Linked DNA regions of Bombyx mori. The protein of the gene in region 3 binds, or shares a complex with, the protein of the main gene of each other region. Links are inferred from orthologs where the notes say so. Each region holds a gene or a part of one and is shown on either strand. Other genes may lie near its edges.

Evidence for each region.
Region 1: SWI/SNF-related matrix-associated actin-dependent regulator of chromatin subfamily B member 1-A (region 3) and SWI/SNF-related matrix-associated actin-dependent regulator of chromatin subfamily E member 1 share a complex: the UniProt entries of both Homo sapiens proteins name them as parts of the BAF complex. The link is inferred for Bombyx mori from reciprocal best matches to the Homo sapiens genes SMARCB1 and SMARCE1.
Region 2: SWI/SNF-related matrix-associated actin-dependent regulator of chromatin subfamily B member 1-A (region 3) and protein polybromo-1 share a complex: the UniProt entries of both Homo sapiens proteins name them as parts of the SWI/SNF-B (PBAF) chromatin remodeling complex. The link is inferred for Bombyx mori from reciprocal best matches to the Homo sapiens genes SMARCB1 and PBRM1.

Annotation. Positions count from the first base shown.
Region 1 is NC_085120.1:6,522,815-6,529,704, forward strand, and holds the start of SWI/SNF-related matrix-associated actin-dependent regulator of chromatin subfamily E member 1, read right to left. Parts: upstream 3,466-6,890; 5' UTR 3,307-3,465; exon of another isoform or gene 3,245-3,306; intron 2,448-3,244; 5' UTR 2,440-2,447; coding exon 2,373-2,439; intron 1,652-2,372; coding exon 1,607-1,651; intron 1,256-1,606; coding exon 978-1,255; intron 836-977; coding exon 632-835; intron 139-631; coding exon of another isoform or gene 63-138; intron 1-62. UniProt on the Homo sapiens protein: Involved in transcriptional activation and repression of select genes by chromatin remodeling (alteration of DNA-nucleosome topology).
Region 2 is NC_085132.1:4,599,737-4,606,526, reverse strand, and holds part of protein polybromo-1, read left to right. Parts: coding exon 1-48; intron 49-488; coding exon 489-720; intron 721-1,281; coding exon 1,282-1,397; intron 1,398-1,868; coding exon 1,869-2,119; intron 2,120-3,113; coding exon 3,114-3,390; intron 3,391-4,187; coding exon 4,188-4,452; intron 4,453-4,975; coding exon 4,976-5,074; intron 5,075-5,552; coding exon 5,553-5,714; intron 5,715-6,282; coding exon 6,283-6,489; intron 6,490-6,790. UniProt on the Homo sapiens protein: Involved in transcriptional activation and repression of select genes by chromatin remodeling (alteration of DNA-nucleosome topology). Required for the stability of the SWI/SNF chromatin remodeling complex SWI/SNF-B (PBAF).
Region 3 is NC_085122.1:12,049,593-12,056,482, forward strand, and holds the start of SWI/SNF-related matrix-associated actin-dependent regulator of chromatin subfamily B member 1-A, read right to left. Parts: upstream 4,412-6,890; 5' UTR 4,237-4,411; coding exon 4,156-4,236; intron 3,088-4,155; coding exon 2,897-3,087; intron 2,442-2,896; coding exon 2,279-2,441; intron 1,988-2,278; coding exon 1,840-1,987; intron 1,123-1,839; coding exon 911-1,122; intron 1-910. Other genes in the region: putative tricarboxylate transport protein, mitochondrial, read left to right, coding at 5,762-5,960.

The DNA.
Region 1 (6,890 bases), on a different chromosome or scaffold from region 3:
CAAGCTTTGGTTGTGATGCTGTGTACACAATGCCCTTATGTTCAGTTTATGAGGCACAATACCTCGGTTTTTGTGGGCCAGCCACTGTAAGTACGCAGGTGATGATTGGTAAGCTTTCAACAATTCTGTATACTGCGCCTGAATTCAAATGTTTTACTTTATATTATCTGTCTTTACATACATCTATCATATCTATGGGCTGAGAGTTTCGTTTACATCATAGAGATCCAATACTTGCTCTCAGTATTTAGCAGCAATAGTTAATAAAATAAATAAAAAACATTATTTTAAATGTATAATTGTACACAGAAATTGCAATTTGTTTCTTTAAGCATTTTTATATGTTACTAGCTGTGCCCGTCTGCTTCTCTGGGCATTTAAAATAAACATTATTATTTCTCACCCCCATAAAGATTCTCATCGTCAACACCCCCACAACTGGTGTAGGGAGTCCAACACTCATATAAATATTAGCCCATCTATTAAGTACATGTATTTTCTACATGGATACTAAGTTTCAAGTCAATCGGATGCATGGTTCAGTAGTTATAATGGAACATCCGTAAAAACCACTGTAGTGTATATTAAGTATAGAAGTATAGATTTTGCATCAGCAGACAGCCTCTCATACCTTTTCAGCTTCATATTCATCGACAAACCCAGCTTTCTCAGATTCAGGCAGGTCCCTCCACATGCCGCCTATTATACGTCCAATTTCCCATAGTTTGAGGTCTGGATGTGCTGCTTTTACACTGTCCCATACACGGCGTGAGTACCTCATGTACGGCATGAGAGGTTTTTCTGGAGGTTTTGGTGGCTTTGGTAGTCCGGCTCCCTGGGGTAGTAATAAATATGGTTTGTTATATAGGAAACAAAAATTTTATAAGTTAAGACAGTTTTTGGTATTTGTGGCTTTTTGTATTAATGTAAAGTGTATTTTGAATACAGTAACAAATAGTGATACAGATTATACTTACAACACCAGCACCTTTCCCGATTTTCTGAGGTTGGAATCCAGGATGTGAATGTACGGTGGATACAAATGGACTTGTCTTATCATCTTTGGCACCTTGTGAGGGCTGTGAGGCGGAGGCCGCGCGGCGGGCGCCCTCTGCAGCGAAACGGCCCTGTTGCTGGGGGGCGTGCCACGGGCCGTAGCCCCCCGGGGGACCCGGGTGAACCATGCCCCCCCCACCTTGGTATTGCGGGTGGTACTGATATTGGTTATGGTGCGGCGACGGTGCATTCATACCGCCTTCAAGCCAAGCAGCGGGCGGCAATACAATGAAAGAAAAAAAAAACAAAAAGCGTAAAGGAGCAGGACGGGAGGGGAGCCAACAAAAATTCAAATATGCACTAAAACATCTAGAAAAATTAAAAAATAAACGTTAAGAAAGTTATTTGCGAGCAATCTAGCTGTAAATTTTTTAGTAGGCTTTAATTAGCGAAAGACTAAAGAGGTGATGGCTTGTGTCGTTGAGAGAAGAGAAAAATTTTGTGCAATTATCTTTTTTAATAACCCCACAGAAATACCTAAGTTTTGAAACGAAAATGGGTGTGTGATACAAAATTTTGAATAGAAAGTCAATTTAGATTGTGGCATTACCTTTCATCATGCCGAAACTCATTGGGGGGCCCGCAATCATGTAGTCTGTATCATTATAACAAAACATGAAACAAAACCAACATAATGGAATGTAAGTCTAAAATGCATTAGGATAAAATTAAAGTAAGAAAAAAATAAGTTTTGTTACTGTAGCTTAAAAGCTAAGATATGGGAGTCATGCTCTAAGTAAAAAGTTTAAATGCAGTTAGATACCAGCTATATCAGGTACAGTTCTCAGCACTGCCAAGCTTGCAATGGCGACAACTTCACATGTTAATGAAGTTAGTATCTAACAACATTCTTACTAACAATAAACAATCTATTTGATAAAATACTATAACTATTGCCATTAATATTTTATTAAAAAAATCTAAACGTAATTAGCACTGCTATCATTACATTAGCTTATTACTAACTTATTTCTTACTAATTTATAATTTAAAATATACAGTGTAATGTGTTGATTGCCATCTTGTCCCTCCATTATTTTGCTGCAAGAAAACTCACAGCATATCAATGTAAATATGAAGAGGTCTCAGGAAACATTTAAATCAGATCAGACTTAAATTAAGAGAAAATCCAACAAAGTTTATATAAAAGGAAACATTTTTAAAAGATTAGTATTATCTAGTTTTTAAATAAAATTAGCTGTTTAGAACATATCATTACAAATTCAATGGCAGTCAACATTCACTACATTAATAATATTTAAAATTTAATAAAATATATATTTAAATTTTTTGTGATTATAGTTGGTAATACAAACGCGGATTGCTCTGAGGACTGGGCATTGACATCGAAGTGTTTTGTTTGTAATTGTTTTGTGTAGCCATTGGCACACCTGAAACCAAATTTTGAATTTATTCCAAAACAAGCATATTTATTGGCTTATCATTCTTTATTTTTTGTACTCATAGTTTATGAGCTAGTGTCATAGTCATATTATACATTTTATAAAACAAGTCTCACACCATTACAAACTCAATACTGGTGAAACTACTTCACAAGCACTTCTTGTTCAAATTTTTGGGATGTATATAATTACAGAAAGAACACCAGCTGTATAATGGGGATTATTTAAAAAATGTATTGCAGTTATGGCAATTTAATTTCAATCCCCTCGTTTGCATTTTATTAAGTTTCATTTAATGATTTCTAGTCTACATAAGGTGTTTGGGAAAACAAACAAAAATATATCCTTAATCTGTACTTAATACTTTTAATTAAAATGTTATAGGTGGAAATCACAAAACTGAAAAAAACAAGAGACGACGTCGATATTGAAAGTCAGTTCTTTTTTATTCGCTTCATTTTATAACCACTTTGTTGAAGGGAGGCTGAATGACTAATATTACAAATGATTAAATTGGAGTCTTATTTGGATAGGCTAATATAAAGAGGCTATGATCACGCTGTGTTTGCATTGTTAAACATCTTAATGAAAATGCCAACAGTACGGATGTATTTGAATTTAAAGATAACTTAAAATGTTTAATTTTTTTGAATGAAATTGCTTGGAAATAATGCAACAATTATTTTGTAAGTCTGTTTACTTTTTTGTTGTAATACGAACAAATCCGCTATCAAGATACATTGTTTATAAAAATAAAGTTTTATGCAACCATATTACTTACTTACTTATTTAGTAAAAACCAAAGAGTAAAGTAAGTTAAAACTTAATAAATGATGTATCGTACTACCTTATCGCTTTTATTGAAAGTTCAAGCTTGGTTTAATTTTTAAAAGGCTCGATAATGGCAACGCGTCTTTTTCATTAAAATACTAACGGGCCTATTTCAATCTCCATCTTTCATTCCATTTTTAATTTAATTGAACCAAATGACAATTGACGTTGTCAACGTAGATTAGAGTAGAGCAATTTATGGTATCAAATGTAACACATAGTTTTGTTAGTCGATTATTAAATTGTACGTTCATTCTAAGGTCGTTTTAAAATGTTGATTTTGGATCTCTTCGCGTTTAATTGTGTAAAAATTGTGATTTGTTAACTATTTGGCATTAGTGAAAGTGTATGTACAAATGTGGGAAAATTAAACACAAGCCACCGAACGTGGCATCTCTGGTTTTTCGAAAAAATCCACCGAACTTTCAGTAAATAACCACTATTTTGCTGCTCGTGGGTTGTTAGGTCTCTTTGGAGGCGCTCGGGCAGTTGTTAGCAAATCCTGGCTGAGTGTTTGCTCGCCGATCTGTCCTGGCGAAATTGAAAAGGCCTCCGGGCCACCAGTAATCTCTCAATCCTAAAAAAACTGTATTTTACGGAGACTTTACTTTTTTTTATCCCATTTCATGTCGTCTCTTTTAATTTCATCCCAATTGATTGAAGACTCAAATTAATGAAGTTAATCTCATATCGCACAGCATTTTTCATATAACGGAATAATAGAAGCTTTTATATACTCTGTATGTAGAAATCTTTTAAATTAAACTAAGATAAAAGAGAATGTAACTATTGGCCATAAATAAACATTAAGAAAACAAATGTCAGATTTAAAAAAAAAAGAAGAAGAAGAAAGAAGCTGGTTTGGAAGATAAAATGCCAACACAACGATACACGATAAAGGGGGTAATCGGATCGCGTTGTTGTTATGAAAAAACGTTACATTGTCTTCTTTTTTTTTACTTGCAAATAACGCCCTTGATGATTATTGTTGCTATCGTCACACACAATTTACATTAGAGCAATACCTACGCTAATGGTAAATACATAAAGATAATAACTGCTAGAATGCAGTTAGTTTCTTCAAAGCGCACTGAACAAATTTTTAAATTAATTTATTAAAAAATTAAATGTTATTTAAGTCACACCAAAATACATTATAAATACATGCAATGGTCATATAAACTCATTCACAACGAAGGGCTGTTTTGACTATGGGCGGAGTGCAAGTGAGCATTCATGGATTCGATAAAAGCTATCTAGCATATGAAGCTAGGGTACCTTTTAATATTATTCCGAGATAGGTGTGGCTTGACATTGCGAAATTAGTAGATGATAATAATGCTAATTGTCATGTTACCAGGTTTCATTGTTTGAGCCTATCTGTACATGTATAAACTAAGGCTACGTATTGTGTATGACTTATGTCTGCGGCTTTGGAAACAGAGTATTCAGATTCACTAGTGCGGGACAAACACGCTGATCGAGACTGTGGTTTTTTTTATTGCTTAGATGGGTGGACGACCTCACAGCCCAATTATATAATTGTGTACTATTGTTTTAATTCAGATGGTCCAACTCGGCTCTGTCTTCAGTTCTTCTTCGCTAGAGGCGGCGTACGAAGGGAAGCTGTTCCAACTCCATACAAATTTGATTTAATTTCTACGCGATCGAGCAGTTAAAACCCTCGCACTAAGCACACACGAGGTAGATCGTTGGCGACGTCCATCGATGGAAAACTGGTAACGATTTACATAATCTACATAAATCAATCGCTTTTTTAACGTTTCCATTATAAGACTAAATCTAAACGTATTTTAACTAAAAACTCGTTATTAAGATCCTAGAGGCTCCTTATTATCTAGAGGCTATTAAAGACATTTTCATCTTGAGTGAATTTAATCATGCAACATTGTTATAACTACTTTTACTGGTGGTAGGACCTCTTGTAAGTCCGTGCGGGTAGGTACCACCGCCCTGCCTATTTCTGCCGTGAAGCAGTAATGCGTTTCGGTTTGAAGGGTGGGGCAGCCGTTGTAACTATACTGAGAACTTAGAACCTATATCTCAAGGTGGGTGGCTATAAAAACTAAATGCCTACCTCATTCTAAACGCTAAGCCCTAATGGTATGTGCTCCGTGAAGCGTGCGCTTATTGTGTGCATGAGTGTTTAGAATGGAATCCAAGCTGGTTGAAGATAAAAGGATGCCCTCGGAGAAGACAAATCTCCGTGACACTTGCAGAGCAGATGCCCGTACAATTTATCTTGGGACATGAAGAGGCAAGGCAATAAAACATAATCGGATGGTAGCCTACTGCCTAAGACGCGGTCTTTTGTTTTATCAGACCCATGAATGCTGATAACGTTTTCTTCTTTCCACACCCCGGTGAAGGTACAGTTCATATTCATAGTATATAACAGTTACCCCTATATATGCAGTTCCCGAGATCGAGTGTCATTGTGGCCTTAAGAATAAGACGCCCGATTAACTCATATCGAGCAATACGACTATACTGTTGTTAAATGCCCAGAGGAAGATAACAATTTTTGTAACATACGTACGTATGTATTCACACTTATACGAGTAGGTATAATGTCTACGTATGACTTCCACGATGGAAAGAGAACGTTCATGTCCTTACGGATCCATCAGATCCAATAACTCTTGCATTAGACACCTTTAGTTCTAACACTAGGAGTAGAAATTCCGGTAACCGTACTCGTTAAACTCGGCCAAGAGTTCGACGTGCAACCTAACCTAAACATCAGCCCGCTGAGTTTCTCGACGGATCTTCTCAGTGGGTCGCGATTCCGATCCGGTGGTAGATTCATTCGCGAACCAGCTAGTTTTGAGTTGTTAGGTATCCTTTGGAGGCACTGGGGTAGCTGTTAGCAAATCCCACCCCTCCTGGATGAGCCCATGCTCGCCCATCTGCCCTAGTAAAATTGGAAACGCCTCCGAGCCACCAGTAATCTCTCACACATAAAAAAAAGGTATAACGTCGTGTATTTAATAAAAATCAAAACCGGAAAAAATATACAATTATTGATGGTAGGGTATCTCGTGAGCTCTCTCTGGTAGGAACCACCACACGGTCAGTTCCTGTCGCGAACCAATTATGTGTTGTTGGTTGAAGTGCGGCACAACCTTTAAATTATAAAATTAAGACTTAGACCTCACGTCTCAAGGTGAGTTATCATCAGCCTGCAACAGTCCGCTGCTAAACATAGGCCTCCCCCAAAGCTCGCCACTGAACCCGATCTTCGGTTCTACGCATCCAGTTACTGCCAGCTGCCTTGCGCAGGTCGTCGCTCCATCTAGCAGGAGAGCGAAGGTGATTAGCAACATTCAATTAGTGTTATCTATGGGGCGCGGTAATCATTTAACACTAGATGGGCCGTGAGCGAGTTTCACCCATCTGTTAAATATAAAGTAAAATAAATTATCTTGAATGAATGATTAGTACGTAATAGGATACGTATTGAGATGTTTTATTTAACACGAAACAGCGGCGTGTCAATTATTAGAACTTTGTGATTTTTCCTGACGAATCGGATTGCCTTAGATAATTTTATTAAGATAGCGAAATGATAAAACTACA
Region 2 (6,790 bases), on a different chromosome or scaffold from region 3:
CACAGTGGAAGTTGTTGGAGACTGTCAAGAACCATCTTGGTCCTAGTGGTATTAATATTTTGCGTATTTAATTATTATTTCAGTAAAACATTATCTATATATTTTCTTTTTTATTGCTTAGGTGGGTGGACGAGCTCACAGCCCACCTGGTGTTAAGTGGTTACTGGAGCCGATAGACATCTACAACATAAATGCGCTACCCACCTTGAGAGACCCACAAGAGGTCCTATGACCAGTAATTATGCAAAATTTATAATTTTGCGGGTTTGATTTTTATTACACGATGTTATTCCTTCACCATGGAAGTCAATCGTGAACATTTGTTAAGTACGTATTTCATTAGAAAATGGTACCTGCCTGCGAGATTCGAACACCGGTGCATCGCTAGATACGCATGCACTGGACGTCTTATCCTTTAGGCCACGACGACTTAAATATCTTCTTAATATATCTTCATACCTAATTAAAATACTGCATGCTAATTTCAGGGTTACCAATGGCCGAACCATTTTGGAAATTACCATCTCGTCGCGCCTACCCTAATTATTACAAGGAGATAAAGAACCCTGTGTCTTTAAACCAAATCAAAAACAAAATACGACGTGGCAGCTACGGTACTCTGTCCGAGGTGGCGGGTGATATGAATATTATGTTTGAGAACGCCAAACAGTACAACGCCCCCACTTCCAGACTATATAAGGACTCTGTAAAATTGCAACGGTATGTGATTTGTATATAATAATAGTAATTAAGAGTTCGTCTGATTTTATGACAGCGTACTCGTTGTTTTGACAATTTCGGCACTTTCTGTCTCAATTGGCAGAAGATTGTATGAACATTTCTAAAATCAAGATGAATTTAGCAAATAAGTAAAGAAACTTGAAACTCTTATGCTCAAAATTAAAAAAAAACTGTATGGTTAGCAATACAATATCTTATGATAATAAAATTGGTAACTATTTCAGAGGGCTGTGTATTTACTATGCATGTAAGATCGCACAAAACTTGGAGTAATTTTTCCTTACATAGTTTTGTGAAAAATTTCAGAGAATTTGTTTTGTAACTTTTTTTTTATTATTTTCTAATAACTAGTTTGACTTTCAACAATAATAAAAAAAAACCAAAGAATATAAATAAGTAAAATTCCTGCCCGGCGGATTTCCACCTACCTCCAGGGGTGTAGTCTGGCCCCATTCCCCGACTACTAAAAGATCCTCCAACAGTAATAATTGATACACGCTATTATCATTGAAATTTAAAAGTGAAATATTTTACTTAAAGCTTAATGCAACAACGTGTCCAAGAACTCCTGGATATAGTTCAGTCATCATCGAGTGATGATGAAAGCCTGTCTTCAGTAAAGAATCAAACTCAAGTGCAGACTCCACGGCCAAGAGGTAAGCCATATTCAAATTAAATACATAAATAAACGATGTGTGGTGTCGTGGGACACCGGATAGGAACGAAGTTCCTTATTATAAAAATATTAATTTTAAATTCTATTCGAGGTATAAAGAAAATAAAACTGGAGGTTTCGCAACAACTCAGGGTCATTCGGTAACGTGCGAACTTATTGTGGTACACTTCATTCACGGTTGTTTGCATAAGAGTAAGTGTATTGCGCAAACGAACGCTCTGAGATCGTGGTCAATGAATGATAAAAAAATATGTTATTTTTTGTACGTTATTACAAAGTTAAGTCGTACACTGTATGCATTACTAATAAAAAATATTACGTTACGAACGTTTTTTCCCGGTTAGGGTGCCCATCGGCATCGTTCCATAAGGAAGTTCGTTCCAAAGATAAATAAAAGAAATGTCGTTAAATTGTAGTGCTTGCTCAAATGGTGAGTAAACAAAATGTCCAGGTCGTCCGCGCATCAACCCGCTGCCCGCGCCCGCCCCGCCGCCCGCCGCCGCGCCGCTCGTGCTGAAGCCGAACATGCCGCTGAAGAAGAAGCTGCACTACGTGGCCAAGCAGCTGGTCGAGTTCACGTGCTCCGACGGCCGCCAGCCGATGCTGCTGTTCATGGAAAAGCCCAGCAAGAAACTGTATCCGGAATATTACAACGTCATCGATCGGCCCATCGATATGCTGACGATTGAAGCTAACATTAAGGTACGTTTTTATTATTTATTGTTTATATGGGTAGACGAGCTCACAGCGCACCTGGTGTTAAGTGGTTACTGGAGCCCATAGACATGTACAACGTAAATGCGCCACCCACCTTGAGATATAAGTTTAAGGTCTCAGTATAGTCACAACGGCTATAGACTATAGTTACAAGGGTGGGGCCCTTCAAACCGAAACGCATTACAGATTCACCGCAGAAAAAGTCAGGATGGTGGTACCTACCCGTGCGGATTCACAAGAGGTCCTACCACCAGTAATTATGCAAATTATAATTTTGCGGTATTGATTTTTATTACACGATGTTATTCCTTCACCGTGGAAGTCTATCGTGAACATTTGTCAAGTACGTATTTCATTAAAAAAATTGGTACCCGCCTGAGATTCGAACACCGGTGCATCGTTGGATACGAATGCACTGGACGTCTTATCCTTTAGGCCATGACGACTTCGATATCGTTGTATGTCGACTACATGTGCTATACTATAGCACATGTAGTCAAATTTAATATGCAAAGTTGTTTGGATGTGGCTACATTATTAGACAGAAATCCTCATTTAGCAAAAAATCCACTGCAAAGAATAATATTATTAAAAGAAAATAAAGTTTTTATCGTTTTTTCTTCTTTATTTGTCACCTATGAAATACTTGCAAGGTGTACTCTTTTTAAACAAAAAATAGTTGGTCACCATAGCTATACCAACATTATCCACTGTTCCCCAAGATATTTATATTCACGAATAGTTTTGAATGTTGTGTAAGAAGAAACAAAACACTCAGAAATACACATTGTCTAAATTGAACCATTAAGCGGATAACGCAAAAACGCGGATTTTCTTTACGTTAAATAAACTTACTGTCTTGTTACTGCACTATGTGATTTCTGAAAAACTATTATCTCCTTTAGTGTCTCTTTCTTCCTTTTCTCGTTCTCAACGTTTTGAGTTATTATTAAAACTGATTAAAACAAATCGCCAACAGAACGATCGTTATAATTCACTAGAAGAGATGATAGCGGACTTCCGTTTGATGTTCTCAAACTGCCGCCATTTCAACGAAGAGGGCTCTATGGTATACGAGGACGCGAACCTTCTAGAACGGGTCATGAACGAAAAGATAAAGGAATTGAACAGCAATTACGAGAAAAAGACGCCCATGAAGAGTCTGAAGGCTCAGCCAAGGTCGAGGCAACTGTCGCCGTTCGAACAGAAGCTGAGAACGTTGTATGACGCTATCCGGGACTATAGGGATCCAAAAGGTGAGATGACCGTTTATTTTTTTTTTATTTTTTATTTTTTTATTGCTTAGATGGGTGGACGAGCTCACAGCCCACCTGATGTTAAGTGGTTACTGGAGCCCATAGACATCTACAACGTAAATGCGCCACCCACCTTGAGATATAAGTTCTAAGGTCTCAGTATAGTTACAACGGCTACCCCACCCTTCGAACCGAAACGCATTACTGCTTCACGGCGGAAATAGGCGGGGTGGTGGTACCTACCCGTGCGGACTCCCAAGAGGTCCTACCACCAGTGATTATGCAAATTCTAATTTTGCGGGTTTGATTTTTATTACACGATGTTATTCCTTCACCGTGGAAGTCAATCGTGAACATTTGTTGAGTACGTATTTCATTAGAAAAATTGGTACCCGCCTGCGGGATTCGAACACCGGTGCATCGCTACACACGAATGCACCGGACGTCTTATCCTTTAGGCCACGACGACTTTTTTTATTGCCCTTGTAGGCAGACGAGCGCACGGCCCACCTGATGGTGAGTGGTTACCGTTGCCCATGGACTTCAGCAATGCCAGGGGCAGAGCCAAGCCGCTGCCTACCGCTTAATAATCTCCACAAGCCTCGTTTGAAGAAGGACATGTCATAGCGCTCGGGAAACACCGTGGAGGGGAGCTCATTCCATTGCCGGAATTTTAATTTAATTTTAGTGCTTCAAGTAGGTAGACGAACTCACCAACTTGCTGCGAAGTGCCAATAAATAAATTCTTCCTGTTCCACCATTCATCCGTTTAAAAAAAGTGGTCTCTGTGATTACAGCCAACCGCCAGCTGGCCCTGATCTTCATGAAGCTACCCAGTAAAACTGAGTACCCTGATTATTATGAGCTCATCAAGAACCCGATAGACATGGAGAAGATTGCTCACAAATTGAAGAGCAACAGTTACAGTTCAGTTAACGAGCTGGCTTCGGATTTCATACTGATGTTCGATAACGCCTGCAAGTACAATGAGCCCGACTCGCAGATCTACAAGGACGCTTTGATACTGCACAGAGTCTGTCTGCAGACCAAGCAGATGTTAAGGTAAAGTCTTATAAGTTTTAGCAATTAGTAAGCTTCATGATTAACGTACCTAGGTATGTCGAATTTATACTGCCAAATTGAATAAATCAAAGTTATAAAAGGGAGTAACATAATAACGTTTCATATATAGACACTAGACTGTGCCAGCGGCTTCTTTCACTTTTACATTTATAATATTAAACTACGCAGAGTGCACCTACATGAAAAACATACATTTTTTTCCTACTTGACATTTTTTTAAGCCAGTACTTGAGTATAATGATATCCTTGTATTGAGGTAGCAAATATTTATGATTGAAAAATAGAAAAATTATTAGAGTAGACAATTATTAAGTAAAATAGGTATGTAGGCTTTTCTGTTAAATAATTTTGTTCCCTGACATGACAGCTTACTAGGGTTAACAAAATTTTTGTCTTTGATAATTAATTATATTTTTTACGGAGTATTTTGTAACACGTTGTATACATATATGAGCATTAAAACTTAAATTGAATAAATGTACAAAAATATTTCCGTCAACAGTCAAGACGACGATGCAGTGCCCGACGTTCCAGCCGCTGTCCAAGAACTATTATTGAATCTCTTTACCACAGTATACAATCATCAAGATGAAGAGGGGAGGTGAGAATAGTCGTTAAAACCAAATGTTTAATGGTAGGAAACTTGTATCGTTATATCAGATTTACTACAAAACTAAAATGATTGGGAGGAAATTCAGTACGCTGAATATTTAATCACTCATCATCTTAATTATTCTTGATCTTCTTATACATCTTCTTAATTATTTTTGACACTTTTGATAATATTTATACTGTCTTTTTTACTAATATTTTGTATATGTACATTATAAAATATATTTCATGTGTCAAATCATTTTTGTAATATTTTTGATTAATCTTCTCTATTCTGATCTGATCTTCTAAATTGCCTAAGTTCTAAATTAAATTAAGTGAATGCTTCACATTAGTGAATTATTTGAAACATTAAATTTGAAGTGATATTTTCTCAATTTGTCACTTGAACACTGATTTTTGTTTTATTTTATTGATTTTCAGTAATATTTCAGTGTAATAATGAATTCTATTTTGAAAATGTTCAGGTGTTACTCAGACAGCATGGCCGAGTTACCGGAACACGACGAAACAAACAATGGCGAGAAGATGCGAGCTATATCGCTGGATTTGGTCAAGAGAAGACTTGACAAAGGGCTGTACAAGAGACTGGATCATTTCCAGCAAGATATGTTTGCTGTGTTTGAAAGGTAATCAAGTAAAAAAAAAAGTATTAATTAATCTAATTTATCTGTAAGCTGCACCGCTCGTAACGTACTGCTGTTAAATGAACAGCGGTGTCTATAGATACCACAACATGACCGTCATTAACCTATACACATGAAGTAGAAATCTGGTTTATTGGTGGCAGCACCTCTTGTGAGTCCGCACGGGTAGGTACCACCACCCTGCCTATTTCTGCCGTGAAGCAGTAATGCGTTTCTGTTTGAAGGGTGGGGCAGCCGTTGTAACTATACTGAGACCTTAGAACATATATCTCAAGGTGTGTAGCGCATTTACATTGTTGATGTCTATGGACTCCAGTAACCACTTAACACCAGGTGGGCTGTGAGCTCGCCCACACATCTAAGCAATAAAAAAATAGCGGTGTCCACAGACATCACAACATGACCGTCACTCACCTATACACATGGAGTAGAAATCTAAACTGCATTATATACAGCCGCGCCGGACTATGAATCAGAATGCAGGCTGTTTTCGCCAGAAACAAGCAGTGGTATTGTGCTATCTAAAATCTGTTTTTGAACATTTTCGCAGAGCACGTCGCCTCTCCCGTACAGATAGTCAAATTTTCGAAGACTCAGTCGAGCTGCAGTGCTACTACATAGAGCAGAGGGACGCGCTGTGCCGCGGCACGCTGCAGTCGCCGGCGCTCACCTTCACGCGCGACACCGTCTCCACCAGCGTCGAGCTCATCAAGCAGTGCAAGCTGCTGCAAGAGAACGACGATGAGGATGAAACTAGGTAACTCCTAGTAGTTCCTGTAGCGGGCGGGGTCGTTTTTTTTTAGGAGATTTGTGACCTGGTAACTAAGACCTTTTAGTCAAGTCTTATTTTAATTTATATTCTTATTTTTATGAAAAATGATAATAGAAATTAAATTAAATGAGATGAGATGATATGGAATGAAATATAATCGCAGTAAAATGATGGTTATTTATTACTGAGATTTTTTCAGCGGGCTTTTTGGAGGATCTCGAGAAGCTACGTCCAGCGGCTTTGTTCCATTTTCCTAAATTTGTCCACTTTCACATATATTAAACAG
Region 3 (6,890 bases):
CGTTGTAGATGTTTATGGGCTTCAGTAACCACTTAACACCAGGTGAACTATGAGCTCGTCCAACCATTTGTGCAATAAAAAATAACTTTAAATTTTAAAATTACTAAAAATATTCAAATGTCAAATTCTCATTCGCTTTTCCATGTGAGCAATGATTTATTGTGTTGTGAGTAAACATTCACACTCATTACCAGTGGTTGGAGTAGGTAGATTGATTTTATATACTTGTGTCAAGATATTACAATATGGACATGTCATTTTATCCATAATGGTTTTTTTTTTAATGGAAAAAAAAACATTTTTAAGCCTCATCGGATACAATTTCTTTATTTATGAGATAAAGTAACAAAAAGCCCTGTCTAAATTTTGTCTCATACTGACAAGCGTCATTTCTAAGTCAACAGAAAGGGACAAAATATATTCCAAGGTGTTTTTGTATAAAATAAAATACAGATTTCTTTCACCATTAGCTAAGACTGTGTAGGGATATATACGACAAAGGGAAGATCTTCCACCGAGCAGATGATATTGCTCGGTAGACCGACGGTCCAAATGTTGTTGTTCGGAACTTGTATATATGCGCTTTATCTTGAAAATGTCGTAAGCGAGATTCAGGCATCTGTCAATTATCTTGCGTTGTATGATGGCTACCCGCCACAACTGGTAGCGTAGATTAATATTATTAACGCGTTTTTCACCTCAAACACAGATTCCAGCTAATTTCAAAATTCCGGAACAAATATCACAATAAATATGAAGTTCCGGTATTTTGGAGGCGTATCCATATTATCTTCTACGTTTGACGTCAACGACCTTAAATCAATCTACCTACTCCGACCTCTACTTATTACACATGTCAATTACATCTTCTATATTAATTATTTGAGTTTTCTTTGTAACTTGAACCTACCTGATCTACCAACGAAGTGTTTCCAACGTGTATATTGAGTTTGACGAGGACCCTCTGGTCGGTATGCTCCTCCAGTATGGGGGGAGGCTCGCTCGGGAAGGCATCGATCTGTTGCCGGATCGAGGAGGCCACAGCAGGTATGAAGGTGCTCGTGTTCAACTCTAAATCATCGCACAGCACCTCGGCAAACTGTTCTGGTGTTATTATTGATTCTGGAAAACAATCCTCCAATTTTTTATTTATTCAAAAACTTGTTAATAGGCTGCCTGCAATCCTTGTGAGAAAAAGCCTCAGACACAGCCCACTGAGTTTCTCGCCGGATCTTCTCAGTGGGTCGCGTTTCCGATCTGGTGGTAGATTCTGCGAAGCACACGGCTCTTGCTAGCGTTCGTGTTAACAACGTCATCACGTTTGAGCCCCGTGAGCTCACCTACTAGTTAAGGCAACGCTGATATAGCCTCTCAAGGCTATCAGCTTAGGCAGGAAAAAAAAGTGGGAACATACACATTATGGATATAAAAATTAAGGAGCGTATTCCTAAATTTATGTAAGGGTTGTGCTAAAAGAACAATATAGAATGAAAACGATAAAACATTAAAAATATTTTAACCAAATTTGCAGGGCGCATTGGAACTGTTCTGTGATCCAAGACAGTTGGACAAGGTCCTCCTGATCTTCAACACTTACTGCAGACCAACAATTTTCATTAAGCATGATTAAAGAACTTTATAAAGAATAGTTATAGTTAAAGATATAAGAAAATGTTATTATATATTTTCAATTGACAGTCGATACAATTCACAGTAAATACAGCCAATCTATTTATAATTTGGTAGACAGCAATTACACATTCTATTATTCAAATACTTTCTGAAATCAAAAATTGAGAATAAACAACCAGAATTGGTAACAAATGCAGTTAAACATACCATTTTTATTCCATGTAAATGTATCCCTGAGTTTTTGACCCTCAATCTCCATGTCCAATCGAATCGGTACAAGCACCTGCTTTTGCGAAGCATTCTCCAGCATTGCAGTCATGTCTGTGTCATCGAAACACAGTGGGAATGTTCTCACCTGAAAAGTATTCATTTTATGCTAGTTTTAATAATGATACTTTAGAACTATAGTATATTACATTAATTCCAATGTTCCATTTCAAAATCTGTTATTTATCTTACGATGTGTCTCTGATTTTGAGATATTCTATCTATCTTATCTATCTATCCTGAATCAGAAGCTAAATTAAATGTGTTGTGTTGACCTTAGAGTGTGGCCCCATGTCAAACATGATTAACTAGATAAACCTAGGAGTCAGAACCTGAAGCCCAACTGGACTTTAAGTTTTGACTTTAACATCCATTTTACCTTCTTATTATGCACCCTACTCCTGCTGATTGGAGTAGCCTGGGGTACAGCATCCAAATGAGAAGAGTTTGGCATGACTGGCAGCCATGATGGAGTGTGTGGCTTCTTGCTTTTGCTCTCACGGGGTGTCGCCAACTCTTGGCTGACGGACACTGCTTTGTATCTATAAATTAATTTAAAGCTGTGTCATAGCTGTAAATAGTTTAATGGACAACTGCTGTTTCATATACAATTCATAGTATTTAAGATTTCCTTGATATGCACACAGCAACTGACCAGAACCGATGGAGACTGGCACAGCTGAAACAGAGTCACAATCCTCAGCAATGAGGGAGCGATGAAGAAGAAAGATATGCACACATTTTGTTTTTTTTTTTATTGTCCTTAAAATAAGACAAACATACAATTCTTCTGATGGTAAGTGGTTAATGTCGTTCGTGGACTTCAATAGTGCCAGGTGCTCACCAAAACTTAAAGGTCTAATATTTCGACTGACTACTTCAGGTAGCTTCACTTATCATCAGATGGATTATGAACTCGTTCACCTGTCTATGCTAACACAGCAATTGTCGGTTTTAACCGCTTTCAATAGTTCACAAAATGTTTATAATGACGTACTTATCATCATTCCCTTCAATAATGTCTTCAACTTCTGACGCCTTCAACAGTGAAACTGAACTGGACAGCACATGAGGACCAAGACCGTTGTCAATTAATCGCTTACGTTCTTCATTGGTGAGGGTACGCCGGCACATGCCAGGGTACTTCTTGTAGAGTGACCCACGGAACAAGCGCAGGTAATTCCCGACCTAAGGCAATAGTTAATTTTTTTGCATTTTTAAGCGGGCATAAGACTAATCAAAATACAAAATCTGGAAATCTCAAGTTAAAACTGCTGTTTTCGACACCACAATATAATTTTGCATTGCTTTTAATTAAAACCACTGTTATTGTTTAATCATTTAAATTTTTTGTCATAACAATTTACAGTAGTTAGAACAGTGTTAATATGCCATGAAAAATGATAATGAAATGAATATAATAAATATGAAATTAGACCTTTTTTTATACAATTCAGAAACACTGAAGAAAATACATCATTGCTCATCTAAAAAAATAAGAGCAGAAACAGCATTGGGTGCCACAACTTGTTTTAATTTGCACTGCAAGCAATCACTGTCGTTTACTTATTCAATATAATTCATAATGGCGCTTTAGAAAGTTCTACTGTAGAATAGAAGATTATAGTGAGAAACTTCACATGAACACTGAATTATGCAACTAGATACAGAAAAAAGATAAAAAGTACAGTATGGTATCTTAAGCCAGTAGTTAAAATGGACTGGTAAACTTTCATGATTTGTATCTCTTTAACTAAAATCTTAGGTTTCTTAGCTAATGATGTTATTGTACATGTATATGTATTTGGGATTTTGTTAAATATGGATCTGTTTACTGGATTACTTACTCGATTATTGCTAAGAAAATGAGTTTTAAAGAATTGTCATTAAAGGGCAACATAATTATTACAGCTCAGTTTTGCCTTCTACAGAAATTCCTTAGTTATTTTATCTCCAAAATTTGTATTCCATTTTCATAAGGGTGATATAGACCTATTGTTCTATTTTTTATCTTATACTTTGATGGACAATAAACTATAGTCTGCTTTACAGTAATGGAAACCAAGCCTCATCGAAATAAGAATAATTCTAAAAGGCAAGTTTGTATAATAGACCAGATTGAGGTTAGGAACGATGTTCTTCGACAAAAGAAAGACTAGCTCCGTTAGTGAATGAAATAATTTTTAATAACGTATCTTTAAAATTATGTTTCGAGTAGTTCGATGTATTTTTAATCAAGAAATGTATGGAACTTACCTCTGAGCCAACACAATAAAAGTCTCCTCCTTCTTCGATTTGAAAACTTATCGGCTTATCGCCGTACGTACGTAAGGCCATTTTTGTAGTTGTGTTGTTCCTTTGATAAAATAATTACATTTACTTCAAGAATTGTAATGTTAATTTGGTAAGGGTAAAATTTATAAATCGTTTCTGTGAATATGTATATATGTATCCAATTATTTTTTTAATTTTATGACCTGGTAACGTACACCTTTAAGTCATATATTATTTTGGAAAGCTACTGGACGTAACTTCTTGGGATTCACCCAAAAGTCCACTGAAAAAATCTCAGTGAATGACCATCATTTTACTGAGATTATATTTCATCCCGTCTCATCTTATTTCCTTTAATTTCATCCCAGTTGATCCCTTTAATATATGTCTCAAATATTAATTTAAATTAATTTGAGACATTCTTGACATCTTCATTTCATTTCATTTCATTTCACTCCATATTATCAGTTTTCATAAAAATAAGAATATAAATTATAATAAGATATAAATTAGAATAAGAAGATTAAAATAAGATAATGACTTAAAGGTCTAGGCTACCAAGTCATAAAATAAAAAAACATTTTATTTGATTTTTTTTAAGAGATTTTATGACCTGGTATCTAAGACCTTTAAGTCATGTCTTATTTTACTTTATATTCTTAATTTTATGAAAAATGATAATATGGAGTGAAATGAAATGAAGATGATTAATTTGAGACATTAATCAACTGGGATGAAATTTAATGAAATGAGATGATATGGGATGAAATACAATCGTAGTAAAATGGTGGTCATTTACTGAGATTTTTTCAATGGACTTTTTGGAGGGACCCGAGAAGTTACGTCCAGCAGCTTTGTTTCATTTTCCCACATTTGTGCACTTTCACAGATATTAAACAGTTAATAAACCACCGTTATTACACATTTAAACCTGAAGAAACACTAAATAGACAAAATAAAACAAATCACACAACTTCACTCCTCGCGTTCCCGCCAAAAAGTCCTATTTTAATTGATTTTTTTTTTTTTAAGAGATTTTATGACCTGGTAACTAAGACCTTTAAGTCATGTCTTATTTTACTTTATAGTCTTAATTTTATGAAAAATGATAATATGGAGTGAAATGAAATGAAGATGATTAATTTGAGACATTAATCAACTGGGATGAATTTAATGAAATGAGATGATATGGGATGAAATATAATCGCAGTAAAATGGTGGTCATTTACTGAGATTTTTTCAGTGGACTTTTTGGAGGAACCCGAGAAGTTACGTCCAGCAGCTTTGTTTCATTTTCCCACATTTGTGCACTTTCACAGATATTAAACAGTTAATAAACCACCGTTATTACACATTTAAACCTGAAGAAACACTAAATAGACAAAATAAAACAAATCACACAACTTCACTCCTCGCGTTCCCGCCAAAAAGTAATTTAGTTCATAGACTATACACAAACACATATTGTTAGCATAGAGTATGATTGTATATAACTAATATAACCTAAATTTTTAGTCTGAAATTAAATGTCGTAGGGGAGTGTCGTCGCAGTCGTTGCGAATTTCAAAAGTGCTCGAAAAAAGAGACCATGTCTTCACGGCAAGGAACATTCAAAAACCCATTCTCCAGACCGTGGATGTCGGAGACAGGTGCAGCGGCTGCGGCTGGTGGTTCGGGTTCAGTAGGCTTAAAGGGAGTTGTAGCCGGCGGAATTACAGGAGGCATTGAAATTTGTATTACATTCCCAACAGAATATGTAAAAACACAACTGCAATTGGATGAAAAAGGTAAATAAAGCACGCCACAATTATCCGAACTAAGTTAGTTAACTAATTGGTGTTTTTCAATTCATAAATTCATTCAAATTTTATTTTTGTCTTATGATTTTGTATATACGTCATACGTAATTTTCCTGCTGTAGCGTAAATCTGTAGTTGAATAATTATGAATAAAGGGTTCTTTAGCACAGGAATTCAAGTTGTAACTAATCAACGTCTTTTTTAACCTTAAAATTTAAAACCAAAGGTTTCCATTACAAGTACATTTTACTGTGTAAACAACTGGAAATGGACTTTGTTCTTTTTTCTAATATCTTCAAGGTTATTCTAAATTAGCATTGAATTTCTTCTGCCTTAACTACGATATAGGTATACTACTACTACTTAATCGATTATTATTTATTAGTTACTTAAATACTTAAATCATGTTTTGAAAGGAATATTTTACAAATGAGAAAATAATTGCTTAGATTGAAGTTGCAAAGTATTCAGTATCAAATTAACTAACAAGTTCTATTACCAAAAGTAAAAGTTTTTCCTAATTTTTTCTCTTTTTAAACCAACTTCAAAAAAAAAGAGGTTCTCAATTTGATTGTTTTATAAATGTTATGTCATAACTTTATTCCGAGTGAACCGATTGTCTTATTTGAAAGCTGTATTATGTGGTCACATTTAAATTTTCTCAAGATCTGATCAGCAGTTTTTAAGCTATCCCCAATAATGCATATTTAATTGATTTTGACTATATGAATTATTATTATATCATCATGATATTTTGTTAATGTAAAATGTACAAAAGAAAACTGTCACCATCTTTCAAAAACGAGCATCATATTTGATGATTTTATGGTGGTGCCCCCATTTAATTTGGTGATGTTTTAATGAAGATCTACAGTCAAATACAATCTCTATACTATCTACATACAATCTTTCTCAATA